Linked DNA regions of Rhinolophus ferrumequinum. The protein of the gene in region 1 interacts with the protein of each later gene in a pairwise test. Links are inferred from orthologs where the notes say so. Each region holds a gene or a part of one and is shown in the gene's direction. Other genes may lie near its edges. The genes, in order: CBY2, TXLNA, PLEKHN1 and CNNM3.

Region 1 (7,333 bases):
ACATGCATAACGTTATAATTCGATATCTGTGTACTCTATTGTGTGCTCATCACCTGAAGTCTAGTTTTTATCTGTCTCCAAATATTTGATCCCCTTGACCCAATTCACCCTCCCCCATCCCCCTTAGCCTCTGGTAACCACCATTCTGTTGTCTGTATCTACTTGTTTGTTTTCATTTGGTTTGTTACTTTTGTGTTTTTATATTCCACACATCAGTGAAATCATAGTCTTTATAGAGCCTTACTCTTGGATCGAGTAAACAAATGAACTGATTTTAGGAAAATGTCAGAACTATGGTGGTGGGATTTCTAGTGGCTCCTGATTGAGGAGGGAAATTTGTAAGGATGTTTCTAGAGGCCCCCAAGTTTCGATGTTGCTTTTGGGGACCTATCTTGCACCTGGTCTCCTTTCTGACTTCACCAAGAAGCGTTTACCACCCTGGTTATCTCAGGAATCTGAAAGTGCCAACTGCCCTACTTTCTGCACCATCCCCCTCTGTTGGTTCCTTCAACATCCCCACAAATATGGGTGATTCTTCTAGCGTAACAACCATTCACTTCAACAGTGCCCCTGGTAGCTGCTCTTCTATTTACTTTCTTCCTGCTCAGACTTTTCCAGCAGTTGATCTTATTTTTTGCTGGATGGACTCAGCGGCAGCCTCTCTTGCTCTTTCTGGCTGCTGCCTTATGCTTCCTCAGGAGGTGACCCCTGGCCTGTCCCGAAGGCAGCTTGGCTCACAGCCTGGCTGTCCTTGGGTTGGTACTCTGGTTCCAGCATAAAGCTACCCTCTGCCCTAAGCAGCAAAAATAACAAATGTTCCCAAACACATCATATAATTTGCAGATGACAAACATTGTGATAATTTACTACATCCACACAACTTCCCATCCTTTCACCAGTGAGAAGGAGAGAAAGGTCAGAACATACCCCACCATGCCCACGTCTGACTCCTGGACCAAGAGCTGCAGTTCCTGTGACTCCCTGGGGCAGGGCAGGAGGCCCCGTGCTCTCTGATGGGCCCTCCCGCTTGTTGAATGTTTCCCTGTGATTCATCACCAGACAGTTGCAGGTGAGGAAAGCCTGGGGAGTCTGAGATGCATGCTTGCCCTTTCCTTCATCTCTGCTCTACCTGTCTGTTTAGATGAGAAACCCACCAGGCGTGTCCACCTCCGAGCTCTGTGTAGTGCCCTCCAATTGTGGATGCTCACGAAACATGGATGATTGATGATGGCGTTACTCTGAATAATAGCAGACATTTGGGGTGCACTCTCAAGGAAGCTTTTCAGTACCGAGTAATGGATGCGTGTATCCTGTAGAGGAGGAAGGGACCCAGCTAGTGGGAAGATGCCAGTTCCAGGATGGCCCAGCTCAAAGCGCTCCTCCCTTAAAAACAAAAAGCGGATGAATCACACAGCAGGCACACAGACGAGCCCTCCCACCAGCTGTGACATCAAGCCTTTTTAATAGGGCACCAGTGTGTGTGAGTCCGCTGCTTGAGACTGCAAGGCAAAGGGAGCAAGGCAATTTTGTACGAGGGCGCCAACGCAATGATTATTTACTGAGAGCTTGCTAAGTCGTCTCGAATTAGATTTAATTTCTTCATTTTGGAGACGAGGAAACAGCTTCTGAGAGGTGGGGTGACTTGCCCAAGTCACATCGCGTTAAGGACTGAATGCATATGTTGGAGCCCTCGTCCCCAATGTGATGGCATTTGGAGGTTTGGCCTTTGGGAGACAATCATGTTTAGATGAAGGCTTCTGGATGGGATTAGTGTCCTTAGAAAAGACGAACAGAGACCCGAACTCACACTCTCTCTCCACCATGTGAGGACACAGTGAGAAGGTGGCCATCTGCAAGCCAGGAAGTGGGTCTCATCAGGAAACAAGTCTTCTGGCCCTTTGACCTTGGATGTCCAGCCTCCAGAATGGTAAGAAATAAATGTCTTGTGGAAGCCCTCCAGTCTCTGGTAGTTTGTCATAGCATTCGTTTTGTGGTCCTTTGTTTGGGCAGCTCTAGTTCAGCTACCTCCTTCGCGGTTGAGTCTTCCTAGCTCAGCCTCACAGGTGGATGTGCAGGTGTTTCCATGAGATCTGTGTATAAGGGAAAATTGAATTGTGTTTTCAGACAGTACGAGAGTTAACCGCTTAAAGAAACCCGTGGAGAAACAGGAAATGCCAAGTGTTGACAGGATGAGGAAAACTTGGAACCCTTGTGTGTTGCTGGTGGGAACGTTAAACGATGGTGCACTGGCTGTGGAAAACGGTATGGAGGTCCTCAAAAAGTTAAAAATAAAACTACATATGATCCAGCAATCCCTCTTCTGGGTATTTATCCCAAAGAATTCAAAGCAGGTTCTCGAAGAGATATTTACATACCCGTGTTCATGGCAGGATCATTCACAGTAGCCAACAGGTGGAAACACCCCCAAATGTTCATTAGTGGATGAACGGATAAATAAAACGTGGTATATAAATACAAGGGAATACTGTACAGCTTTAAAAAAGGATGCTGTGTCACATGCTCCAATATGGAGTATCTTGTGGCTATGATGCGAAGCCATTAAGCCCGTCACAAAAGGACAAATACTGTATGATTCTACTCAGGAGTCTCTAAAGTAGTCAGAATCATAGAAATCGGAAATAGAAAGGTGGTTGCCAAGGGCTGGGGGAGGTGGGGAGGGGACTTAAGTGTTTAATGGACATAGAAGTTCGGTTTTGCCGGATGAAAAGGTTCTGGAAACCTGTTGCACAGCTTTGTGAAAGTCCTTAAAACTACTGAACTGTATACTTAAAAATGATTAAGATGGTCATTTTTCATGTTATGTGTTTCAACCACAATTAAAAAATAAAATTAAAAAAGGAAACCCTTGGAGAAGTTCCCATTTACAATGAAGAATTCTTTGATAATGTGATTGATCACTTTCTTGGTCTTTTCCACATGTATAGCTTTGAATTACTGTGTATTGGATTTTCTTAAAGCGACACTCGCTTGTATGTGGGCTGTGGGAGAGCCGTTGGGCGCTTAGGTGTCCCTGGGTCTCAGACGCTGGCCTACCACCCTCCCCGGTGTGTGGCATAATAACGTGGCACGGGAGCTCTCTGTCTAAAGAGGCTGAAGACACATGAGAGGGCTCCCACTAACAGCCTCTAGAGGCAAGTGACTGGACAGAATTGAGGCAGGGGGCTGCGCTGCCCCCTTCGCAAAGCCCGGATGTTAGCACTGTGGTCTTGATGCAGTTTCTACATGAGGTAAAATAAGAATATATATTTGGCCTTTGTTTGTAGTTCCTGACACGGAGCTCCTAAAACCTTTACCACTTCCTGAGTGATAGATGTATCTTTTATTATTCACACGGAGCCCCTCTGGAGCACACCTGAGTTTATGCCAACGAGGTGATTCTTGGTGGGGCCCCCTTGGCAGCTTTAGGATGTGGGCTGGTTGCCAGAGGAATCAACTACGTGCTTAGAGGGTTGGAACTTTCAGTCTGCACCCCTGCACGTCTGCGCTGGAAATGTTCAATCACCAAAGACCACTGATTTAATCAAGCACAACCATGTAATGAAAACTACATTAAAAAGCCCTGAACAATGGTTTGGAGAGCTTCTGGGTTGGTGGGAGGATGGCGTGCCAAGAAGATATGGAAGCTCTGTGTTCTCCCACCCCATCCAATATCTTGCCCTAAGCATCTCTTCCACTTGGCTGTTCCTTTATAATAAAACTGCAGGTGTAAGTAAAGTGTTTTTTGAGTTCTGTGAGCTATTCTATCAAGTTATCAAACCCGAGGAGGGCGTTATGAGAACCCCTGATACAGCCAGGTAGAAGTACCAGTGGCCCAGGACTTGTGACAGGCATCTGAAGCGGGGCCGGTCTTGTGGGACTGAGCCGTTCACATATGGGACCCAACACCAACTCCAGGGCGATTGTGTTAAGGTTGAGCTGAATTGCAAGATGTCCAACTGGTGTCAAAGAATTGGAGAATTGGTTGTGTCAAAAAACGTCTCACACTGAATTTCTTCTCTTGGTCTGGAGTGAGTTCAGTTTGCATTTTTTCCTTCTTAAGTGATCCAACTCCAAGGAGAAGATGCCATCTCTGGAGAGAAGATAGGGATCTCAGCCCAGCCTGGCAGAGGAGATGTGAATAGCAGTCAAGATGACCAAACAGGAAGCTAGTGTTAGGGCTACTGTGTGTCACACTGACCTGGACCAGCCATGTCACACCAAGGTAAGCTCTTCCTGACCATCAGAGGCCTCATTCCCGCCTGAGATGCTCAGAGAGAGACCATGAGCCCTGAACACTGCCATATTGTTTTGTGATGTCACCTCTGGAATGTTCTGAGTGTTTTGGTGACCAACTTCTGCACAGGACCTATACCTGGCACCTAACGTTGGTATGACTTTTTGCTTGAGACAGAAATAAGAATCTTAGAAAAGGTAATAATAGGTGTAAGTATGTCTGCTCCAAAGGCTTTCGGAAGGCTCTGAAACCGGTTATAATACCTGTCTTAACTTATGTTCAGACATCGCTACAGCCTCTTGTCAGACACGATCTTCCCGTTCTTTGAGACTCCGATTTTCATGATGTACATAATTGACGAGGGGATAAGTGAGTCGGAAGTCCTCTGTTTTTCAGATGAGCAGTTGTGGCCCGGAGGAAGGGCTGGGGAGCAGATGTCTTATTTTCTTTTTTCCACAGCTCTCAAGGCCACATTGTAGAAGAAAAAGAGATACCAGATCTGAAAGCCTAGAAATTCCAATCAATGTGGTTCTACCTCAGGTAGGGATAATCACAGAAGAATGTAATCTACTCGTTTTAGCCACAATAACCCTCTTCTTTCAAAACTCGAGCAAAAGATGTTGTTGAACGAGCAGAGTCCTCAGGACCTCAATTCTAGTTGTGGGGCAGCTGCCAACCAGCTCTGTGCCTGGCAGAGGACACTTAGCCACTCTGGGCCTTGGGTCCCTCATCCCTCGAATGAGGAGAGTGAGTTAGGTGGTCTGGTAAGACCATCCAGCCCTAACACATGAAGTTTCTATGACACTCTGAAATACGCCAATCATCTCGAAATTAGATCTTCTGGTAGTTGTGCAATCACGCTGGATTTCTAGAGGAGAATTACAACTGGCCTTGGAATCAAATGCATATGACTGAATCCATGAGGAGAAAACCTAATACAGACCAAGGAGTACAGACAGGGCCATTTGGAGGTGTCAGAGAATTAAGGCCAGCTGTATACCAAATATACAGAGCGTAAGGGGGTGGGCACGAGGGATTCAGAACGGAGGCCAATGAATGGATGCAGTGTTGACAGGTGGAGATTCTCAGGTCTCCCCCACTGAGCCCTGGTGGGGTTCTCCTGATTGCATTGTTTCTACCGCTGCTATGTCACAAAGGGGGCAGCCTTGCTTCTCCAGAGTCACCTAAGGCCCAGTTGGAAGACCATGGCACTGCAACCAAAAAGGGTGAAATGTAGAGTGGAGGAGTCCAGTGCAGAGGTAACTATGTGAAAGCTCTGTCCGGGGACGTGTAGGGACAGGATTGATCACCTAAAGCTCTCTCTTTCTTAAGGATTTTCAGAAGGACACGATTAGAAAGAAAACCTCCAGCATTCTTTCTATAGGTGGAGGTAATTGTAACAATCTAGGCAACTGTGTTCAGCAGGAGGAAAAAATATAGGACACAGAGCATTCTGGCTATTTGTTTTCGCATATCCTTATGACGCTGTAATGAACAGACACTTCTCTGTTTCAGCTCCTAAAGCTTAGAACATACGCTCACTTTCTCCTGACCATCAGGATGGCTTGCCCGCAGGGTTTCTGCCGCTGTAGGAGCCCTGGCTGAGGTCCGATTCTTTCCACATAAAACACGTCTGTAATTCCATTGTCCACTACTCTCCCTATGGTTGGGTCGTTCTCAGCCCAGAGAAGTCAATCTTTGCTTTGCTAAGGGACTGGGAGAGGGTGTCAACCCGAGGATGGGTTGGGGTGGGGATGGGAAGAGGGTATGAAGCAATGGTCACGTGATGGAGGGATCTGGAAGTCTTCCATCTACACCTAGTGCAGCTCCCTGCCTCCTCCCAGAAACAGCCCCTGCAGGAGAGCAAGGAGCAGAACTGGGGAGTGGTTTAAGGAGCTTCGAGCGTGTTCTGGGGCCTGTACTGCAGGTCCTGGTGCAGCTGCTGGGGTCTAGGAGGGCACGGGATGAGAGGATACCTGCTGCCTAGGCACGTGTGCCCCACGTGGGCAGATGTGGCCTCACGGGTGCATCTGCCACCGGGACACAAGTCATGCAGCAGGTTTCAGACACCAGCCAGGATGCTTTGGGCAGGGGCGCTGGGGGAGTGGTGTGGGTGTCTATAAGTTTAGATTATGAGAACAGCGTCACGACCAGGGCTTGGGGGAAAGGACTGATGTGGTTGATGAGGGAAGCAGGACTATTGGTTGAACACTGCTTTCATCATGTGTCGGGCCATGCAAGTGCGAGGTGGACACTGTAAGTACGGGAACTGGGAACCCGGGAACCCCACTGGTAATGGCAGAGCTGGAGTTGGGGGCTTGAACCCAGGCCAACACCCACTCTCTCTGTTATATCGGAAGATGGGCATATGCCACGTGGCCGGGCCAGGTCAGGTCTTAGTCCTCTGCTTCTCTTGCTTTTAGGAGATAGCCCTTCCTCTCCCTGCATCTTAACTGCGTGCCCGGAGCTCCCTGCATGTGTCTGCCACATACTGCTTTACTCTGGGACGAGTCCCTCTGTTTCAGAAGGGAATTGCCTCAGCAGCTCTGTGACTTCAGAAAGTGCCGCTGGCCTCCTAGCTCCCAATCCGGCCAGGCATTGGGGCTTCTCAATTACATTGCGAATGCCTGTGACTCACTGTTCCTTATCTCCCTTAGGTCTTTCCAGGTCTTATTGATTTCCAGTTTTTCTTCCTCACATTAAATATTTGTGTTTTCTGATCTATTTCCCTCCAGCGCATTCACTTGCAAGCCATCGATGTTATTTCCTGTCCCAGCTAGCTGCCCTCTTGGTTCCTTTTGTACACAATGATTGAGTTCTCACAGGCATTTGCATTTCCCTCCCTGGTGAGCACTGTGTGTGCATTGCAGGTGTTGTTTAAGGCTAGATCACTAATGAAGGGTCACACCAGATCAGAATGAGCTCTGGAGGCCCCCTCCAGGCTCCCTCATGCCCCCAGTTGCCTTTCCTCAATCCCCTTTGTTTGGGCTTGTTCTTCAGAAGCTATGGAACCGGCTGACAACACCCATATCTCTGCAAATTTGAATGACCTGTTAGGAGGAAGATTTCATGAAATTCTGTGTTAAACAATTAGCTGAA
Region 2 (7,539 bases), on another chromosome or scaffold:
CTTTCAGGGACCCTTGATGGTCCCCCTTAGCTAGGACCTTTAGATCTACTCCTTCTACTCTCTTTGCGCTGGAAGCCACTTTCCAGGAGCCCAATTTTTGGAGCTGAACTGCACAGATTGTAGCTCCTATTATACTTAGTCAGGGAGAGCAAAAGAAGGCGCTCAGGCACAGACTTTATTTCTTTCAAGCCAAACCAGCTTAAAATGAAAACCGTCTACAGAATGAAATGGATTTCCATTTTCTTGTGTCTACCTGCTTCCCCCCCTGTATCCTAGAGTTACTCCTGTTTCTAGCAAACTAGTAAGGGAAGGGCATAAATGCCTAGCAATACTTCCCTCATTCCATATAACCCCCTTTGAATGCCTCAGCTCGTATGTTCAGGCCACATCTCTTCTCCTCAAGACTCAACTTGGTATCCATCATCTTGGGTGTTCCTCTGTAGATTCATCTTGTAGGCTCAGATTCTGGATTCTCCAGGTCCCTATAGGCACTACAGGGACCCGGAGGGAAAGCAGGCTGGCTGGGGGCCTCAGGAATGTGTGTTACTGTCTGCCTCCCTGGCAGTCTGGGAAAGGGTGCAAGGCTCAGTGCACTGAACCATAGGAAATGCTCATAAGCAATGGCAACATCTTCCAGGTAGGACTATCCTAGAAGTGAGTGTGAGACTGAGAAATCGCTCAGAGTTAGGTTTCTTCCACAGCCGTTTTAGGATTCTAGACCAATCTTGTTCAGTATTTTTTCTGTGTCTTAACTTTTGGATTCTTTTGTTAAGCCAACAAGCTGAGAACTAGCTGCTCTTTGGCCAAGGCCTTTATAAATGATTCAGTCATCCGGTTGTCTACCCCCCAACCCCACCTCCAGATTAAGACCATAGCACGGGAAGAATTTGAGGTCAGTACCAACCAAGTCTGTGAATTAAAGCTGTTACTTTTCCTCAGAGGGCATTTTGCATCATGCCTGGGCTATTTACAGAACCAAAACTAGGTATGAGAGAAGAGGCAGCATTAAATTTGGGGCCCAGAACACCCCAAGACAAAGGTTTGTGTAGTGTGTTATAAAGGTCTTCAGTGAGTTTGGGCCTACCTCGCTACTTCTGGGCCAGCCTGACTGATGTCCATATTAGCACATACCTGAACCCCTCAGCTAAATGCTAGCCCTGCTCCCACGTGTAGGTCAGATTTTCAGCCCCTGGGTTTGGGAAAAGCAAATCCTGCCATGCCCTGGGGGCAGTGAAGGAAGTCAAAGGTCATATCCGGAGACTGGCTGGGAACCTCTGACTCAGAATGGCCTTAAAGAGTCCACCTCTCTGAGAACCCTCAAGCCTTGTAGTTGGGTATGGGCTCTTTTAGCCCACTTTTGGGGGAATTGCCTTTGACTGAACCACTAAAGCAAAGGGGATAGGAGGTCCCAGCCACCCAATACAAACCAGATGTCCCTCAAAAATAGCTTGGGTTTCCAGCTACCGATCTTAGGAAGGTGAATCAAACCAATTTTCCTCACTGGTTTTTCTTTGCAGTTCATTTGCTCTTAGTTTTCCAAGAACTATAAACTCTGACTATTTTCCAAGTTCTCAGGGCCCCTGGGTAGACAGACAAAGCTTGATTTCAGAGCAGACATAGGCCAAGAAACCGAGGCATTGAGTGTGCTGAGTCCAGACAAATGATATTTATATACACATCCAAATTTGAAGAGAAAATGTTATTTCTTTAGGTTTCAAACACTGTAATAGATATAAAGCAAAAATAAAAACCTGTTGCAAAGTTCTAAAGCGTCGTCTCTGGAATGATCCTAGACTGGACTTTTCGGAAGTGAACAAAGAAAGTGTTTAAACTTGGGGCCTAACAGTGGAATGAGGAATTGCAACAGCCTGCTCCTGCTATAAAGACATCTTTAAAAATCACCTTTATTGAAATACAATGACATACAGTAAATGGCACATATTTAAAATGTGCAGTTTGGTAAGTTTTGACATATACCCATGAAATCATCACAATTAAGATAGTGAACATATCCATCTAGAAGTTTCTGCATGCCCCTTAGGAATTTCTCCTCCTCACCCAACCCCCAGCAACTACTGATCTGAGTTCTGTTTAGTTTGTATTTTCTAGAGTTTTTTCTAAAGGATTTGACATCATTTCATCACCACTCCACAGCCCTTTGAGCCCTTGAAGGTCATACAGCTCACAGACTACTCACTTTGGTTTAGGTCAATTCCTAAAGCAGAGATTACAGACAAGCAGCCAAAAAGCTGACTCAACATAAAAGGAGGATTTTGGTTGGCAGACAGTGTGTTTTAAGTATTAATTCACTGCCAACATTTTAAGAAATAAAGATATATCCTGAAAAATATCTGGCACTACTGGGCTTGAGTTTCTGCTTGAAAACAATCTGTAAGAGGTCTGTTTTACCATCATCACCACCATTCCCAATGGTGTCCCTGACTAGTTGACTGGCAGGTGCTAATACTGTTGCTATTTTATAGCAAAAGTAGAAATTGACTTTTTAACCCATGTTTATCAAATTGTTACTGCTTGCCTGCCTGCTCCACTCTTTACCCAGCTGGCCCCTGTAGGGCCACTGTTGATCCTTCTTGTTACACTACCCCTCCAAGCGTACCTTGTTCTTGCTTATTACGTTCTTTATCTCTGCCTAGAACACCTTCCTATGGAAATCCATCAAGGCTTGATTTGTATGTTACCTCAACAGATTTCCAACATGCTTTTCTGGAAATAAATCAGGCCTTGGTTTCGTGAGACTTGGATTCCAAACTTTTCTGGCCTTGAGTTTCACCATTATACCAAATTGCCTCTCAATGTTACCTGGTAAAAGGTGAATTTGTGCTGCCTAAGGAAAGGGGGAAGAGCACTACTCTGGTATCTCTAATTGGGAAAAATACTTAACATCTTAAGAGCCCTAAAACAATGCTGAGTTTGCACAATTAAAACATTCTCTTCCCTCACCCCCAAAACCCTAGGCTTTAGGATGAGAGAATTTAGCCAACAGTCAGAGGTTCATTGATTTGTAAGCAAATAATTTCAACACTTTACTAATGCTGTAATAGAACTCTAACCAGTAATAAGGAGCTAGGACAGGCTGCAGAGCATAGGGCAGGCTCTAAAGAGACCTTTGAGCTGGGCCTCAAAAGATTTTGTTTTTGCCATAAGGGCATTTTGGAAGCTGGAATAGCACCTGCAAAATCCTGGGAAATGCAGGCAATAGTGAAAGTATTTCTAGAGCAAAAAACAGGCAGAGGGAATGGGCAGGATTGTCTGGAAACAAGCCAAACTATGTAGGCATTAAATCCCAAGCACATGGGTTGTTGGTTTTTATTCCATTATCTATAGGCAATTCGATAAAGAATTGGGATCTCGCATTTGAAAAATTTGGCTTGTTTCCCCTTTAGCTCCAGTGCAACAGAGACTCTGTAGAGAGTAGGCCAGTGATAAAAAGGGCTCAGGAATCTGCTAAGGCTAAACTTGCCCTTGCAGGGCCCCCTCAGCCCCTGCCCAAGAGGGGCTCATGCTGGTAATGAAGAGGGGAAAAAAATACAACCCACTTTAACAAGTTGCCTTGACTTATCCTCAGAGAAAGTGTGTCATGATGGTTATTTCTTCTGGGTAAGAGGCCGGGTAGGTCCAGTAGTTAAGATGGGTGCTGGTGCCAGACTTCCTGCTCTAACCACTGTTAGCAGCTGTAAAATGGAAATAAGACATAGTACTTACCTTGATGAGTACTTAGGATCAAGATAGTAGATACAGCAGTGGCCAGTTAGCTCAGTTTGTTAGAGCGCAATGCTCTTAATGACAAGGTTTCAGGTTCGATCCCCACATGGGCCACTAACCTGCGCCCTCCACAACTAGACTGAAAGAACTACTTGACTTGGAGCTGATGGGTCCTGGAAAAACACACTTAAAATAAATTTTAAAAGTTTAAAAAAAATGTAGATACCGGGAAAGCACACCTTAAGCGTTCAAAGAACTGCTGTTGTTATTAAAAGCTTCTATTTGAACGTGGAAATCGAGGTTCTGGGAGAGAAAAGAATGTCCCGCAAATCAGTGATGAAGTTAGGACTGCAATACAGGTCTCCAGGTTCCCAGCCCAGAATTCTGGCGGGAAGGGTTGGAGGCGTGCAAGAAACAACAGCCAGGAGTAAACCTTTCGGAGCTGAATCATAGCTTCTGCGCGACAGAAAGGAGATTGACGTGGGTACGTATACAGAATGACTGGCTCCTTTCGAACCTGAGTATCCGGCTCCTAGGACTAAAGCCCTTTATATTGCATCTTGGGAGTTGGAGTCAGCCCTGCTGCATAAAGGGACTTGTAGTCCTTTCCCTCCCCCGCTTTCCCAACTCACCCGCCTCAGGGGCCCCTTCGCTATATCTTTCCCAGCAAGCCTCGCGAGAGTGCCGGCTATTGATTGGCTGCGGCGAGCAGGCAGCTCTGCCGGCAGCGGTTACCCAGGGTTTCCGGTGTGAGGCCAGAGCGGGCGAAGCTGTGCGGACGGCGTTGGGGTGGGTACCGCGGCGCCTAGCGGGACCAGGCGATCAGCGGGTCTGTAGACCTGGGCGCTTTCGGCCAGTGAGGGGAATCACACAGACTCCGCGCGAGGGCGAGGGCCGGGGAACAGCTAAGGCCTGTGCGCATGCGCCGGCGGGCGGTTCGCGCGCGGCCGGAGAGCGCGCGGGGTGTGGGTGGCTGTGCGCGCGCGGAGCCGGGAGGAGGGGGGTGCCCACGTGGGGCCTAGGGCGCAGAGGAGGGAACCGGAATCGAGCGTCCCGCCACGTCAGTCTGCGGCGGGGAGCCTATCCCGCGCTCCGCCTGTGGTGAGGTGGACGCGTTGTGCCGGGAAGAGGCTTCAAGAAAAAGGAGGCCTCCCCTGGAGCAGCTCCTCAAAAACCTGCCAGGGCACCCCAGGCTCCCCTGACTGGCCAGAGACAGGGAGAACCGTTGACTCCCTCTGGTGAACGCCAGCCAGTTTGTTTATAGGAAGCTTTGTGCACCCGGTGTTGGGATTTCTGATCCAGGCTGAGAAGAATTTTGAAGTCTGGAAAATAGCAAGTGTCTTGTTTTATAGGATCTGCTCCTCACCTAGCATTGCGAGCCACAATGAAGAATCAAGACAAAAAGAACGGGGCTGCCAAGCCAGCAGGCAGCACTTCCAACCCAAAAAGCAACCCAGGGCAAGCGGAAGCCGGACCAGAGGGAGCCCCGGGGCTGCCCAGCCAGGCAGCCTGTGCAACAGAAACTGAAGGTGCCACCAGCCAGACTCCAGGGAAGACGGAGGGTGTGTGCCAGCTCTCGGTTTCCAGCGGGGAGGGAGAGGAGTTTGTGGTGCGGCCAGTGTAGCTGCTGGAGTTAGAGGCCACTGTTGACTCAGAAAGAAGGAAGTGGAATGAGGGGACCACAGTGCTGAGTCTCTGGGATCCCCAGTGTCCTGGGGAGTTGGGAGAGCCTTCCACTCTTAAGCGCAGACACAGAACTCTTTCGAGGCGGCTCTGACAGGATTAAATCGGGTGGCAAGCAGATGAAACACCCAGCCAGCACATCCAGATTAGAAACACCTCATTCACCAGTGGGTAACTGCTTTCTATACTTGAGGCATTTCTGGAAGGTTTTTAGTAGCAAGAAGTGACTTTTTCGGGGAAGAGAAGATGACCTAGACATTGAGCTCCTGCTACATGCCATCTGCATGTGCTGAATGTTTTACTTGGTTTCTTTTATACTCGTAACAGACATGGTTGGGTGGTAGTGAGAAGTAGTCATATCATTTTATAGGTAAATAAACTGCGGCTTAAAGAAGTTAGGCAACATTTCACCCAAACCAGTAAGTTTGGGCCTGAAAAACGCAACCAGTGGTGTAACCATCTTATTTCTCACTCAGCCCCTTCATCCTCTGCTGCTTTAGGAGTACAAGCCAAAACCTCTCCGTCTGGGGCCCTCCGTGATGTCTCTGAGGAGCTGAGCCGCCAGTTGGAGGACATCCTGAGTACATACTGTGTGGACAACAATCAGGGGGGCCCAGGTGAGAATGGGGCACAGGGTGAGCCTGCTGAACCCGAAGATGCAGACAAGTCCCGCACCTATGCCTCGAGGAATGGGGAGCCTGAGCCAGAGACCCCAGTAGTCAATGGTGAGAAGGAGACCTGCAAGGGAGAGCCAGGCACAGACGAGATCCGGGCAAGTGATGAGGTTGGAGACCGAGACCACCGAAGGCCACAAGAAAAGAAGAAAGCCAAGGGTCTGGGTGAGCAGAGGGAAGCTACTCGTGATGCTGTTGAGGGGAGGGAGTTTGGACCCGAGATTCCCTGGGCTAGCCTACTCTGCTAGGATGCAGAGGAAACTACTTCCCAGGGCTTAATCAGTGCCAGGGCTGTAGGGCCATAGCATAGAGGTGTGCAGGTGGTTCACTGCACAAGGGCTTCTGGCCTTGGGAGCAAGTGGGAACCGAAATTCAATCTGCTGGGTGGACTCCTGTGCCAGCCAGCCAGCCTGCACGGTTTCTAACCTGTTGTGTTGGGCAAGGCCTTTCTCCTCTCCAGTCCTTTGTTGTCACAGTAGAGAATTGGGCTAGACCAGGGTTGAAAACACAAACAAGCCAAGTTAGTCAGGGGCCTCGTGAGGACGAAGAGAGTGCCTCCTTCATCCAAAGGGTTGACTGTCACCTGGTCCCAGCAAGTTGATAGCATGTAAAACTACAGCCTAATTCTAGCCAGAGTCCCAGCCCCCTTTTTTTTAAGCTAGAAATCTAGAATTACACGCAACTAATATGCTAGGAATCAAACAAAACCCATCTGTGGGTTGGATTTGGCCTGTGTGCTAGTGATTTGCAGTCTCCACATTGGTCTCTTGGAGCCTCCTAGGGCTGCCACTTCAGAAGCCTGGTGCTGTGCTATGTACGGTGGCTCTCTAGGGAGGCAAGGAAGATTCTGACTCAGGCACAGGCAGTGCAGGAGAGTCTTGGCTGAAGGTGGGAATGGGGGCGGCTAGTGTGTGTTAAAAAATCAAAGTCCGGTGGTATTATACCCTTAGCCCCTACTCCCGTATCCCCTAACTGTCATCCTAACTTAAACAAGGTTATTTTGTTTGTTTTTAATCTTAGGATCAAATATCGGGAGGTACATTCATTTTAAAGTTCACTGTTTTGCTACCTCTGTTGGTGAGAGTTTAGTAGTCCTCAAGGAAACCTTTTCCTTTTTGCATCCTTCCTCTATCAGAAGGGCCCTCTTTGCATTGAAACAGTAACACTGAATTCACAGGTGGCCACCTTTTTCTCACCTGTTGGAAGAGCAGGCAGTTTTGCGTTTTTTGTTTCTCCCACTCCTGGTGCTCACCAAGGAGATTCCACAGAGATTCAACCATTTATTTAATAAGTATTTGTTGAGCGTGTCCTCCGTGCTGGGCACCAGAGCAAGTACTGGGCCACAATAATAGGCAGAACTGAGTTGGTCCCAGCCCTCATGAAGCACACAGATTAGCAGGGAAGGCAGCCAGTTCAACAGACAGAAATATAAAGTGTGATAGGGGAGGGCTGCCTCAAG
Region 3 (7,051 bases), on another chromosome or scaffold:
GCACACGTCTCCACAAGGGCCCAGCATACAGGTGGACCGTTGTCTGAGGGGGTCTCAGTGCTCGGGCCAGGTGTACCCACAGGTCCGACCTGTTGCCTGACTGGCGCCCCTGCACCCCAGCTGATGAAGTGTGTCCGTCTGCCCCTGCTGAGCCGGGACTTCCTGCTGGGCCACGTGGACGCCGAGAGCCTGGTGAGGCACCACCCTGACTGCAAGGACCTGCTCATCGAAGCGCTCAAGTTCCACCTGCTACCGGAGCAGAGAGGTGTCTTGGGCAGTAGCCGCACGAGGCCCCGGCACTGCGAGGGAGCAGGCCCTGTGCTCTTCGCCGTTGGTGCGCCCATCCCACCGGCCCCCCACGCCTCTGCCCTGCGACTTCTGCCCATGAGCCCAGCGCCAGCCAGCCCCACCCCACGCTGATCACATCCTGCACCCTCCCCACACCTGCTCCTCCATCCCACTGGGAAGACCCTGTGTGGTGTGACCCACTCACAAATACCCATCCCTACCCCCAGAGCCCCAAACCCTTGACCTTGAACTGTGCCGGAGCCCGCAGCCTGTGGCCTTCCTGGGCCCCTCCTCATGCCCCATCACATCCTCCACCCTAGGTGGTGGGAGCCTGTTCGCCATCCATGGGGACTGTGAAGCCTACGACACACGTACTGACCGCTGGCATGTGGTGGCCTCCATGTCCACACGCAGAGCCCGGGTGGGCGTGGCAGCGGTTGGGAACCGGCTGTATGCTGTGGGCGGGTAAGCGTGGAGGCTGCTCTCTCGTGGGGCTCGGTGTATGCCCACCGGGCCAGCCATGACTAACATTGGACCCCTCCCCTAGTTACGATGGGACGTCAGATCTGGCCACTGTAGAGTCCTACGACCCTGTGACCAACGTCTGGCAGCCCGAGGTGTCCATGGGCACGAGGCGCAGCTGTCTGGGTGTGGCTGCCCTGCACGGGCTCCTGTACGCAGCCGGTGGCTACGATGGGGCCTCCTGCCTCAACAGGTAGTGGCCTTTCGCGGTGGGCTTGGTAGCAGCTGTGGCTGCATCAGGACGACAGAGGTCATACCTCGAGGGGAGCAAAGAGAGATCCCGCCTGAGTTACCAGGGTCCCATAGGCCTCCTCATTTGTGCCAGCCCACCTGCCCCTTCCTTTCCTCTCTGGGGTCTTTCCCACAAGTCCAGAGGCTGCACCCAGGTGGACACTTACCCAGGATCACCCACGCAGCTGGGGGCCCGTGTGCACCCCTCAGGCCTGCCTCCTGCTCCAGTGGGACTCTGGGGTCAGTCTCAGTGACATCCCAGCACGGGATTTGAGTCACTCCCCAGGGGAAGGCAAGTCCTCATCTGCCACTGCTCGAGGTCAGCGGTGGTCCTGGTGTCCGCAGTGCCGAGCGCTATGACCCCCTGACGGGAACATGGACGTCTATCGCCGCCATGAGCACCCGGAGGCGATATGTTCGTGTGGCCATGCTTGGTGGGTGATAACTTACTTGGTGTAGTACCCACCCCTACCTGCCCCCCCAGAGACCCCACACAGCAGGTACAACATGGGCATGTTGAACCCTGCAGATGGGAACCTGTATGCCGTGGGCGGTTACGACAGCTCATCTCACCTGGCCACAGTGGAGAAGTATGAGCCCCAGGTGCGAAATGCCCCAATCCCATGAATCCCCCTCCCCAAGGGCTGCCTGAGGTCATCACTCTGGCCACCCACCTCCCCTTTAGGTCCCACCCCTGTCCCACAGACACCGCCCTGGAGCAGGGGTCTGCACAGGAAGTGGAGGGGGGCTGGTGATGGGTCTGCCCCCAGCAGGTCCCCTCAACCACAGGTGAACACGTGGACGCCAGTGGCCTCCATGCTCAGCCGGCGCAGCTCAGCTGGTGTGGCGGTGCTGGAGGGGGCTCTCTACGTGGCCGGTGGCAATGATGGCACCAGCTGCCTCAACTCTGTGGAAAGATACAGCCCCAAGGCTGGTGCCTGGGAGAGTGTGGCTCCCATGAACATCCGAAGGTGCGCTGTCCCCCAGCACACAGACTGGGAGTGTCCCCCGTCACTACCACAGTGGGTTTGCCCCCCTCAGAGACTGACAAATGTGTCCCATGGCCTCACCCCTGCATAGTGTGTCCCCCACCCATGCTCTCCTTCTGGCCTGTGCGCCTCCCTAGAGGTTCCAGGCGGCCCCACCCCCGGGGCGGCTCCTATGGCCCCCGGGTACCACCCCCGGGGCTCCACCCCATGGGCTTATGCCCGCCTGCCCCGCCCCCAGGAGCACCCATGACCTGGTGGCTATGGACGGCTGGCTGTATGCTGTGGGAGGCAACGACGGCAGCTCCAGCCTCAATTCCATCGAAAAGTACAACCCGAGGACCAACAAGTGGGTGGCTGCATCCTGCATGTTCACACGGCGCAGCAGTGTGGGGGTGGCGGTGCTCGAGCTGCTGAACTTCCCGCCACCCTCCTCGCCCACACTGTCCGTGTCTTCCACCAGCCTCTGACCCCGGCGCGGACTGCACAGAGGCCGGACCTTGCGGCCTCCCACATGCCTTAAGCCCCGCAGAGGGCCCCAGCGCCTCCCTCCCCTCGACCAGTGTGTCAGGGGTGGGTTCCTCGGCCCCCCGCCAGGGATGTCCTGCACCGTCTGTCCACGTCTCTGTGTGTTGAGGCCGCCCATTTCTGTTCATTCCTCAGTGCTCATTTATGTGTGTACCGTTTATTTACTCGTTTATTTATTCAGTATTTATTGATCGATGAGCAGCGCTGCAGCTACCAGTTCGTACGTTTACTCTGGAAGTGTCCTGTGTGGCTGGGACCAAGCTGCCCTCCTAGTGTTCTCCCGCCACACTCGGGGCACTGGTGAGTGATGGGGTGGACACTCTCATTGCCTGTGGGGCAGGGCCAACTTGGACTCTGCAGACCTGGAGGGACCAAAGGGCAGATGCAGAGCGGCCTGTTGGGGTGGGGGGGCTTCTGAGCAGGTGCAGACCCCCAGCTTTCGCTTTGCACACCACCCTTGCCTCACCAGGCCAGGCACACTCCCAAAGAGGGCACGAAGGGGGCTTCCTGCCTGTGAGTGTGGTGTCTTTTCTGGGTCCTGCACTGAGCTGGGACACATGCGTGCCACAGACTCCTCACAGCAATATGAACCAACTTGAACAATAAACACATCTCTTGGACTCTGGGCTTGTGTCTGAGGTCCATCTCCACCTTCTGGGGTCCTATCTGGGGTGACTGGGAGGGTCTGGGGGCAAGTGTACAGCTGGGCTCAGGCACTGCATTGGCATCTGGGGGCTTTGAGACAGCACCGTCTCATCCAGTCGGGACAGGCTGTCATGTCCTGGAGGAGTGCCTGATCATGAGCATGGCTGCTGCCAGCGTGGTCCTGAGGGGCCCCCATGGCCTGTCTCACCCCAGGCTCTTACGAGAGGGACACGGGTGGCATTCCCCCTACTTCGCCGTGACTGTCCTAGATGCACCTGGGATGGCTGTGGTCTCCTTCCTGGATTCTGGTTAAGCCTCGAGGACCCTGACCTTGGCCCGGGGTGAGGGTTGGGCCAAGGTAGGAGAGGAGGCTGGGGAAGGGTCCTGGCTTCCCCTTCCCCAGTGTTGCAAACTCCTGCTGCAGCTCTGACAGCAAACACATGCCCCCTTACAGTCACTGGTGAATCAGAGACTGGCATTTAGGCGGAAACAGGATGTGTGCTTTTGTGGGGGGGTTGTGGGAGGGGGTCCCTGGGCTCACAGAGCTCTACCCCAGGCACCCCAGCTTACGCGCAGGTGGGCAGGTCACGCACTCACAGACCAGGCTTTTGGGGCCCCTCCCGAACGTACTGGTGGCTGAGGTGGGCGCTCTTGGCTCCGCCAGTGGGGAAGCCCCCAACCCCGCCCCAGCTGGCCTGCTTGTGGGGAGGACCCAGGGCAGGCAACTGAAAGGCGTGGGCTCAGGTAGGGCCGGTCCCTCCCAGAAAGGCTCCACCTTCCCCCGGCCCTTGGGCACCGGGTAAGACGTTGCAAAGCCCCGCCCCCGGGAGGTGGCGACAGGAGGCTCGGGACAGAGGGACCCAGACTTGCCGACCTGCTCAGCTAGGGTCGGCACGGATCGCGGCCCATGGGGAACAACCACTGCGTCCCTCAGGCCCCTAAGAGGCTCCGGGCGTCCTTCTCCAGAAAGCTCTCGCTGAGGGGAAATAGGTGAGGGGGCGGCGCGGGGGCGGACTCGACGCTGGGTCACAGGGTTGCCCTCAACCGGCGTCGGGAACCAGGCTGTGAGCCCCCCTTCCCTCCTCCCCAGAGAGGATGGCACAAGGAAGCTGGCTGGCCTGTTCGGCACGGAGGCCAGTCCTGACGGGGACACCACCGCCGCCAAGATCTTCCACTACATCCCGGGGTCGGTGAGTGGCGGGTGGGCGTGTCCCAGGGTGAGTGCGGGCCGCGCAGGGGCGCGGCGGCGGTGGTCTCAGGGTCTCCCAGGTCAGCCTGGGAATCAAATCTAAAACAAGGTGAGGAAGTAGACGGAGCCCCACCCTCGGGAGCTCATCTGGCCGAAAGTCTGGCGGAGAGCGAAACTGAGACCCGACTGAGTCAGTGGGTGAGCTAGCACCAGGAGGGGCGGGCGCGGGCGGGGACTCCGGAGTCTCTGCTGCCCCAGGGGCACTGTGGCCAGGACCCAAGCCTGCCCCTGGACTGGACAGCATGTCCAGGCACATTCGGTTGGACCAAGCGCAGGTATCTGAGCTGTTGCCGTGTGTGCAGGGATGTCATGCTGGTGCTACGGCTATGAAACCCCTCCACCCCCTCTTTACTCTGACTAAGGGGCTTCAGGTGAGCCGTGAGCCAGCGTGTCACCTACTCCAGGCCTCAGTTTCTCCCAGGGGGTGTGTCCCGGCACACACCACTGCCTCCTCCCATAGCAACACCCTGTATCCCCCTGGCCAAGGCCCCATAGCAAGGACTGCCTGCCAAGCACATATTGGGGCACCTCTGAGCTGAAAACATCCCCTCCCTCTACCCAGCTCCTGTGGGGTTGAGTTAGTGAGGGGGAGAGACATAGCCCTTTTCCCCAGCCCTTGTCCCCAGGGCTGACATTGGGTCGAAGAGAGGCGCTGGTACACACTGAGGCCCCTGGATGTGACGAAAATGACCCCCCAGGTTCTTACTTCAGGAGCATCTGGGAGAGGACAGGGAACGACGGACATGTGTGACTATGCCAGGAACGTGGGCCAGGGCTCCACCTGCAGTCCTCACACCGTCCCTTACAGGCCTGGCAGCTGGTGTGGGGAGCCCACCTTTCCAACTGGTCCCGTCAGGCTAGGAAGTCCTGGGCCCAGCCTCTCCCTGCCCTCTGAAGTCCCAGCGCTCCCTGTGGCAAGTGCTGGCTTCGGAAACCATGCTGCCTCAGAGGAATGGACAAGCCACTTGTGTCCAGGGCCTGGCTGGGCAGGGATGGGGGTCCCTCCAAGTGGCCACATCTCAGACCTCAGCTCCCTCTGTTCAGGCCCAGGACGTATCCCATGACCCTGGTGGAATCCTGTGAGTTGTGTGGTCCTCTCTTGCCAGGACATGGTGGCTGGAGAGGGGACCAGGAATGTTGAACCTCAGGAGGTGGGGCCCTGGAGAAGCCAGTTCTCCTTGGGTTCTGCACCCACACAGAGCCGGCCCTGCCACAGCTCTGAGCCGACTCCTCCCTGGGCCCTAAGGCTGAGCCTGGGCCACAGGACCAGCTGCATGGCCCTTCCTGCTTCGTGGCCTATTTTTCATGGGTCCCATCCCAGCATCATTCTCTGCACTGGGCGTGGGTGCAGGAAGCTCCACCCAGAGGCGGGGGGCCGGGAAACTGTGTGTCTGTGCACATTCCTGGGCTTATTTAAAGGGCGGCTCAGCTTGGCCTGGCACAGCAGCCCATCAGGCAGCCCCTGCCAGCTCCCAAAGGAGACATGGCCCCTTCCTCAACTCACCCCTGAGCCCCTGGACAGACCTCAGCCCCTCCAGCACCAGGTAACGCCCATCCCAGTGTGACCCCCAACCTGATGATCAAGCTCCCATTTGTAGAGGACTCTCTGTGTGCCAGGACTGGCTGAGTGTTTGCGGGCACCGATGCTCCCTCCCTGCAGCAGACAGGCAGTGAACCCCCATCACATCCCAGGCCTGTCCTGGCCCTGGGACACAGCAGTGGGGGAAATGGACAAAGACCCTGTTCTTACGGTGTCCCCATCCCTGTGACAGAGCCAGATGACAAGACAAATAATTAAAAGATATAATAAGTAAGATGTGGCTAGCACTAAGAAGAAAAGTAGGGAAGGTGTGCAGAGGGGTCAGGGGAGATTGGCACGTGAGAAGGGTACCCAGACGGGACCTCATGGAGGAGGCGATGTTTGAGCCAAGCCCTGAAGGAGGTGCAAAGAGCAAGGCTGAGTGGTACAGGCAGAGGGAAGAGCAAGTGCAAAGGCCCTGAGACAGGCGTGTGTCTGCTGAGAGGGGAGAGGACCAGGGGAGGGGGCAGATCACAGAGGACCCGTTGGGCCACTGCCAGGACATTGGCCTTCCCTACTTGAGAGTAGGGCAGGCAATGTGTGCTGAAGTGGCCAGCCCAAGCTCCCAAGAGCTGATCCGATGCCTCTCTCCCCAGCTCCACACTTGCTCACGTCACGTTGGTTCCTTGAAATGGGCCATGGCAGGAGGATGTACACCATCCAAATTGGCAAATGCTATAAATTAATCTCCCCATTTTTTAGAATCAAATATTAAACATTTACTAGCTGATAGTGGACGTACAGGAGGGTTTTGAGCCTCGTCTTACTCAGACATCCAAAACCCCTGTGACCAACAAATCTTGGGAGGTTGAGTAACCAAAACAAGGGCACACAGCTTAGGAAACAGTGAAGATAAGGGTCGAATCTCCGTTAAGTGCAAACATCATCGTCTTCTCTGACAGACCATGCAATTCTGTGACTCTCAGTGAGGTCACGTGCACGCCCGTGTGTTCTGCCGCTATTTCCATGTGAGGAGGCTGTGTGTGCAGGCTTCTGTCCTTACGTGTGACAGTGTGTGTGTCC
Region 4 (7,270 bases), on another chromosome or scaffold:
CTCACCCCAGGAAGCAATAGCCATAATGTGCTCCCAGCCACGACCTTTTGGCTATGTCCCCGACTCAGGGAGCCCACTCGTCCTCCCTCATCCTCCAGAGACGGGGTCCCAGAGGCCCGCTGGAGGAAGGCTTTCTCTTGGGAGGACAGTTCTTTCCAGGAAGCAAAGAACCAAATAGTACTGAGAACAACTGGGACACGTGCATGGAGGCTGGTCTTGACGTCACTGAGACCGAGGGGTCTGGGCAGCTGTGACCAGGGACAGATGCTCCCAGCGGCAGAAGAGTGTGCGTGCTCCTGTCACTCGCTAGATCAAGGAATTTCCAAGAACTGCTGATGGGCCCTCCTGGTGAGTTGGGGCCAGTGAGACTCTCACCCCTGTCCCCATTGGTTCGCCTCATATCTGCCCCTTTGGACAAGTCTCCCCTTGTAATGGGGCTGACCCAAAATGTTAGGCAGGGTCTCCCACCTTTCAGATTGCTCGCCCCTGCTCCCTAGGCTGCTCTCACTTTTACCAAAGGTTTTCCCCTGGGTGGGGACAGCATCTCCATTTGAGGTGACTTGGCTGCGATACTCCTTTCAGTTCTAGGAGGGAATCTGGTCGTGCATTGTTAGCAAGTGATACCATACCCTCCCCAGCCCACAACCAAAGTCTAGTCTCAGACAGTGACCCAGGAACCCTGCTTTCCAGACTCCCTACTTCTAATCCCAAACCCCAAGGCCTCTTGGGGGCTGAGGACTGAGGACATGTAGGAAGCCAGCGTCAGCAGGTTCTGCATGCCCTGTCCCCTGGTCAGGCTTACCTGCCTGTTCACACACGTCCAGAACCCAGGAAAGATTCCCACCTCGAAGGCATACTACTGGCAGCCCTGTGTCCCCCATGTCGTAACCCTACAATGAGGCTTCATCCTGGCCTGTGCCGAAGCTGGTGGTACTGGACCCCCAGAGCTCCACGCCCACAGGAACTCTGGCCCCAGCGCCTTTCCCTGGGGCCGAGTCAGGCCCTGCCACACAGCTAGCTCTAGGCTCCCCATCCCTGGGAGGCTGTGGGACCAAGGACCGTGTTGGCCCTTCTGTTGGGTGGCACAGTTGCTGGGGCCCAAGATCAGGTGAGGGGGGCTCTGCAGGCCTCGGGCCTGAGTATTGTCTGTTCACTCCTTCCTCAGCCAAGTGCTCTGCGCTTCAGGTGCCTGGAGAACCCTAAGTCTTGGGACCAGGAAATGTCTTTCACCAAGTATGCCTGCCCCTGGCCAGTCACAGAATTTATTCCTAAAGGTCTGGAGAGAAGGTGATGACACCCATGGGTTCTCAGACACCAGACCTGTTTCCTGTTGGGGGGACCCCTTAGTTTTCTACAGGAGCAGCTTGCTTCCCGAGTGCACACGGGAGCTTGCAAAGTGGTGTTCCTGAGACCTGAGTGCCAGGCGGGGCCAAGTGCATTGGCCTGAACCGAGTGTGTGAAGTGCAAGGAGCGGGCACACACACTTCCACAGCTACCTCTCTGCACACACAATTCCTATCAACAGCGCGCCCTCCGCCCTTGCCCTGCCCTTCCCTTCCCCATTTATAATCTCTTCTTGCAGAGGGTTGTAATGACTTCCAGATATTATTGGTCCATGACTTCTTCCTCCCAGTGCAATTTTTCACTTCCTATTCCAACCTCTGGTTCCTGGGCTGAGCCCTACCTTGGAATGGGCCCGTCCCTGCACGTCTGCCCGTGTGAGGGAGAACCGTGCAGATGGCCTCCTAAGGGGTAGGCAAGTCACAGCCACCATAGCAAATGACTCTTATTTATTTTGCGTAAGATTTTAATTTGTATATTTTTGTGATTTATTTTGGCATTGTTATGAGTTTGACTCTCGGGGAGTTTTGTTGTTCGACTCTTGTGTCTTTTGTCACAAAATGATAATATTTGCTAAACAATATATGGAATTTATTTTTTGATTGGTAATAAAAAAATGAAACATGAAATCTTGGTGAGTCTATGGTTTACCTATTTGAGTTCCATCAACATTTGGTACCTCTCATAGAGCTAGAAGTGGCTGTCACCTGTGTCAGGACAAGTGGCAAGTATTCCATAGGAGCTGTTTAGCAGTAAACAAAGAGGCAGAAATGTAATTTACAGCACATACATAACCAAGGCTGTTGCCACAGGAGCTGTTGGACATGCATGATAAAGGTGCTCAGCGGCCACAATTGGGAATCCCGTCATGAGAGGGACACCTCAGGGTCTCCTGCCTGTGGGTCCTGGATGGGCAGTTGGAATGAGCAAATCGGCCCTTCTCTCTCCCCTGGGGGCTGAAGGAGAAAGGAGCCTGATCCAAAAAACAGGATCACATTGTTTGGTAACATGCAGTTGCCTTTTCGTCCACCCATGGGCTGGCCGTGGTCTTGAAGTGGGAGAGCTCATCCCGGAAGAGCCTGCCCAAGGCTGAGTGACCTCACTGCGTCCACTACTGCAGTGCTCATAGGTACGCATGTGACTGAGTGTGTCAAGGACTCAGCGACTCAAGCCAGCTGTCTTCACAGCAGGCAAATCGGGAAGAATGTTTAAAGAGAGGCACTTACTTGGGTCGGCAGAAAGGACATTCCAGATAAAAGGAATTACATGCAAAAACTTGTGTATAGGTGGGAAGAGTAAATTTCATCCATCCACCTGTTCCACACCAGGTGCCAGCAACCCCTCAGTCTAATGAGGCAGACCTCCTAGGAAGATAAGTCACACAGGGACCCCTGGATTTGCTGTTACCTCTACCAGGAACACTCTTTCCCCAGGTCTTTGTGAGGCTCACCTCCTGCTCCTTCTAGGCCTCTATGCACATGTAACCTCCTTAGAGAAGCCTTCCTTGTCACCCTCCATAAAACAGCTCGGCCCCAATCCTAACTGCCAGATATTAAAACACGATTTGTACATTTCCTGTTGTCCCCATACTAGAACCTAAGTTCTAGGAGGGCAGGGACTTTCTTATTTCCACATAAATCCCAGCACTAGAACAGGACCTGATACACTGCAGGCACTCAATGCAGGAAATACCTGTTGAATGAATGAATGAATGAATGGGTCTATAAAATAAGCACTACATGCTACTAGGTAAGAGCACACAGCTCCCACAAACTTGACCCACTGAGTCAAGAGTCGAGGAAGACCAGCTCCAGGAAGTGACGTTTGCAGACTTGAGAGAGAAGCAGCAATCAGCCAATGAAGCCACAATAGCTATGCATTTAAAACTCAAATATTTAAATAAAACATGGAAATACCTTGAACCAAATAACCAGTAAGGCAAATGGTCTAGGGAGAGTCAACGAGGGACTTGAAGATCAAGTGGCAAGTATGTCCACTGATGCTGTGACTAACCAGGGGGCGGGCAAGAATGGCACAGGCGGGAGGAAGCAGTCGGAGGAGTCCTGTGAGGCCTCTTACTGTTAACAGGAGGGCACTCCTGAGAAGCTGCCCTGCGCTGGGTTCTTTAGGTCTTCGGGTATTGATGGTTTTCTGAGTGTGATCCAACTGCTGCAAGTGTCCGTACAAAGGTTTTCCCAACAAAGTGAGTTATAGGTCATTTCCCCAGGGAGCCTGGGACCAAGGAAGAAGTAGAACTGCAGTGACAGATCCAGGCATTCCTGAAACGAGTGGCGAGGATGGGACGGGGGTGTTAGGTCGCGTCGGACCTCAACATCCTCGTCGAGTCACACGCTTCGTTTTTCTCCTGGAAAATAATAACATGAAGTAGAGGCGAGGGTCCAAGGTTTCCTTATTTTCGCCCAAGGGCTGCGTCTCCGTCCCCGGACCTACAGCAGGGTCGGGCTCCATCAACATGCATCTTACGGAAGCTTAGCTTCCCGGGGCCCAGTCCCGGTTCTTCCTTCGGCCTTCCCCGCCTTCAGGTCGGCGGTTCCGGGGCCCTACCTCAGAAAGCCGCACGTCTCCCTCACCGAGACCTCCGCCTACTGCTGCCCGCCCCGCGTTCCAGCCAGGGATCTCCCAGAGCTGGAGTCCGGCCTGTGTAGTGGGTGGCCACACCTCACCCGGAGCCCCTAGTCCACCCCGTGGGCTGTCAGCCCCGCCCCCGGCCGGTCCCGACCCGCGCCGCTTGTTTACGCCCAGGCGCAGCCTCGCCCGCCCCCTGGGCCCGCCCCCACGCACCGCCCATTGGCGAACGGGGCACGAGGCCGGCGCTGATTGGTCGGAGGAGGCGCGAGTCTGGCGCCGATTGGCCGGAGGAGGGGGGAGGTAGGCTGCGCAGAGGCCGAGAGGGGGCAGCGGGCGATGGCGGCGGCGGCGGGGCGGCTGGGCTGGCTGCTGGCTGCGCTCTGCCTGGGCCACGCCGCCGGGGAGGCGGCGCCGGGCCCGCGAGTGCTGGGCGTCTGCCTGGAGCAGGCCGGGGCCGCGGGCGCGGCGTGGGCGCGCGGAGGGGAGGTGCCGGCCGCGCCGGAGGCCACCTTCCGCCTGCGCCTCTTCGGCTCGGGCTTCGCCAACAGCTCCTGGTCCTGGGCGGCCCCCGAGGGGGCGGGTTGCCCCGAGGGCGGGCCGGCTGTGGTGCCCGGTGAGGCTACGGCCCCGACGGGCGAGTGGCGCGCGCTGTTGCGCCTGCGCGCCGAGGCTGAGCGCCCACAGTCGGCGCTGCTGGCGGTGCGCGGGGAGCCTGGCGGCACGGCTACCGGGAAGGCGGCGGCCCCCGCAGGCGAATGGCGCGCGCTGCTGCGCCTGCGCGCCGAGGCCGTGCGCGCGGAGCTGAGCAGCGAGACGGCGGAGGAGGCGGCGCCGCCCTGGGTTCTGGGCCTGGGGGCGGCGGGGCTGCTGGCGCTGGCGGCGCTGGCACGGGGCCTGCAGCTGAGCGCGCTGGCGCTGGCGCCGGCCGAGGTACAGGTGCTGCGCGAAAGCGGCTCGGAGGCGGAGCGCGCGGCGGCGCGGCGCCTGGAGCCGGCGCGGCGCTGGGCGGGCTGCGCCCTGGGCGCGCTGCTGCTGTTGGCCAGCGTGGCTCAGGCGGCGCTGGCGGTGCTGCTCTACCGCGCGGCCGGCCAGCGCGCCGTGCCCGCGGTGCTGGGCAGCGCGGGGCTCGCGTTCCTGGTGGCCGAAGTGCTGCCGGCCGCCGTAAGCGGGCGCTGGACGCTGGCTCTGGCTCCGCGCGCGCTGGCGCTCAGCCGCCTGGCGGTGCTACTCACCCTGCCGGTGGCCTTGCCGGTCGGGCAGCTGCTGGAACTGGCGGCGCGGCCCGGGCGGCTGCGCGAGCGCGTGCTGGAGCTGGCGCGAGGTGGTGGCGACCCCTACAGCGACCTCAGCAAGGGCGTGCTACGGTGCCGGACGGTGGAAGACGTGCTCACGCCGCTTGAGGATTGCTTCATGCTGGACGCCCGCGCCGTGCTGGACTTCGGCGTCCTGGCCAGCATCATGCAGAGCGGCCACACGCGCATACCCGTTTACGAAGAGGAGCGCTCCAACATCGTGGACATGCTCTACCTGAAGGACTTGGCCTTTGTGGACCCCGACGACTGCACGCCGCTCAGCACCATCACCCGCTTCTACAACCACCCGGTGCACTTCGTCTTCAACGACACCAAGCTGGACGCCGTCCTGGAGGAGTTCAAGCGAGGTAACGTCTGGGAATCGCGGAGGGGACTCGAAAGCTTGTGCCCCGCACCCCCTATAAAAGGGGTCGGGGATTATGGAAGCCTCTGGAGAGCAGTGAGACCTGCAAGTCCCGTTTTAAAGACGATGACGGCCTTGCAGCTCTGAATGACCTTTTGAAATATTGAAAAGTTGTCCTTGAGAGAGGGACACAGTGCTAAAGACAGCAAAATCCCCCTTTACCTGGTAGGCCCCCAATCTGGGGAGGTATGTCCACTAGGCTCTAACCCCCAGCTCTTTCCCGCTCCGGGTCATTTTTGTGGGTTTTGTAGCAGGTCGAAGCTCTTGGATAGAAACTAAAAGAAGGTAGAAAAGAGTGTAGTCCCCAGGTCCCTGGAAACTTACGTGCCCACACATACAAGTGCACCTCAGAAGTGGTGAGGGTTCGGTTCCAGAGCGCAACAAAAAAGCGAGTCCTAATCTGTTTGCTGGTGGAGGGTCTTGCCTTTAATTTCTAGAAAACGCAACACCTGTGAAGTACAGTAAAATGAGGGGTGCCTGTGATGTTTTCAGGTCGTCATTGTTAAGGTTGCTGATGGGCTGCTGCTTCCTGACTGCAGAAAAGAGTGATTCAAAAATACCTTTCTGGGGGTGTGGAACAAACTGCCACTTGGATTTGAATTTAACCAAAAGCAACTTCATGGGCGCTAATTCAGTCTTCCCTTCAGCTGTCTTTTTTTTTTTTTTTTTTAACTTCCCCCTTTTCTAACCCTGAGTAAGGTCTCTCACATTCTCCCTTAACTCCACATTTGCATTCTCACCTTTGACCTTGGTTTATCCCAGCAACTCTAGGGTTGCACCCTCCAAATGTGAAGGTGTGGTTTCCTGTGCAGTCTTCTCATGGCCCGGTGTGGCTGTGCTCCCAGAGCTCCTTGACCGCCAGCCATCTGTGCTTCTCAAATCCGAACTCCTGCAGGATGAGCACAGGGGACACCCCAGGATTCTGGGTGGCCTTGAGGCTGGAGGATGCATAATGTGAGACCAGGAAGCCAGCAAAGCCCTTGAGCTTCCTGGCACCTAGGAGGTGTCCTGGCTCCAGGCCCCCCCTGGGAGGTGTTCTGTGAGTCCCTGACAGTTGGGGAGTCTGGGCCTTGTGACCTTGTGAGTCCTGCATTAGCGCTGTGTAAAGCAGACACTAGTGGGCGCTCACGTGCATCATCTCCTCTCTCCTAGAGGCTTGCCTAAGGAAGATTGTCACCTGGCTACAGTACTTGAACTCCTATGCCTCTGATTACCTGGGAGGCTGCTTTGGGGGCAGCTCTGACCGCTCTGCTAGAGAATCTGTTGGCTGCACCCCGCTGCCTCCCCAGAAAGTGGCCATGCAGCCCCTCTTTGGGGCGGGGAGCACTGGGTGGGGGCCTGACAGAGCCTCTTAGTGGTAAATACTCCCTGTGGGCCACTGTAGTGTTCTGGGCAGTGGTGTCCTGGGGGCCAGCAGTGCTGGGCCTGGAGTCAGCGAGGAAGGGTTCTTTCATCCCGCTGCCTCCCCGCTCGAGACCCTGGGAAGGCAGGACTTGACACCAGGATGACACCTGTGAGCAGAGCACAGTGGCGCCTGAGGGTGTTTCATGATCACTGACTGGTGTGGAGACCAGTGATTCAGGGGTGCAGAGGAGAGAGGCTGGCAGGGTGCACATGGGCCTGG

What was found.
Region 2: the proteins of CBY2 (region 1) and TXLNA interact in binary tests that used the Homo sapiens proteins (3 or more experiments, as listed by UniProt). The two-hybrid records come from large-scale screens. The link is inferred for Rhinolophus ferrumequinum from reciprocal best matches to the Homo sapiens genes CBY2 and TXLNA.
Region 3: the proteins of CBY2 (region 1) and PLEKHN1 interact in binary tests that used the Homo sapiens proteins (3 or more experiments, as listed by UniProt). The two-hybrid records come from large-scale screens. The link is inferred for Rhinolophus ferrumequinum from reciprocal best matches to the Homo sapiens genes CBY2 and PLEKHN1.
Region 4: the proteins of CBY2 (region 1) and CNNM3 interact in binary tests that used the Homo sapiens proteins (3 or more experiments, as listed by UniProt). The two-hybrid records come from large-scale screens. The link is inferred for Rhinolophus ferrumequinum from reciprocal best matches to the Homo sapiens genes CBY2 and CNNM3.

Annotation. Positions count from the first base shown.
Region 1 is NC_046287.1:5,395,266-5,402,598, reverse strand, and holds the start of CBY2 (protein chibby homolog 2), read left to right. Parts: upstream 1-4,313; coding exon 4,314-4,388; intron 4,389-4,693; coding exon 4,694-4,774; intron 4,775-7,333.
Region 2 is NC_046292.1:22,082,336-22,089,874, forward strand, and holds the start of TXLNA (alpha-taxilin), read left to right. Parts: upstream 1-4,534; 5' UTR 4,535-4,552; intron 4,553-4,779; exon of another isoform or gene 4,780-5,075; 5' UTR 5,076-5,107; coding exon 5,108-5,285; intron 5,286-5,882; coding exon 5,883-6,245; intron 6,246-7,539. UniProt on the Homo sapiens protein: May be involved in intracellular vesicle traffic and potentially in calcium-dependent exocytosis in neuroendocrine cells.
Region 3 is NC_046292.1:191,503-198,553, forward strand, and holds the start of PLEKHN1 (pleckstrin homology domain-containing family N member 1), read left to right. Parts: upstream 1-4,050; 5' UTR 4,051-4,107; coding exon 4,108-4,190; intron 4,191-4,290; coding exon 4,291-4,390; intron 4,391-7,051. Other genes in the region: KLHL17 (kelch-like protein 17), read left to right, coding at 121-334, 609-753, 836-1,003, 1,387-1,475, 1,571-1,644, 1,831-2,012, 2,269-2,497. UniProt on the Homo sapiens protein: Controls the stability of the leptin mRNA harboring an AU-rich element (ARE) in its 3' UTR, in cooperation with the RNA stabilizer ELAVL1.
Region 4 is NW_022680356.1:2,261,719-2,268,988, forward strand, and holds the start of CNNM3 (metal transporter CNNM3), read left to right. Parts: upstream 1-4,251; 5' UTR 4,252-4,266; coding exon 4,267-5,590; intron 5,591-7,270. UniProt on the Homo sapiens protein: Probable metal transporter.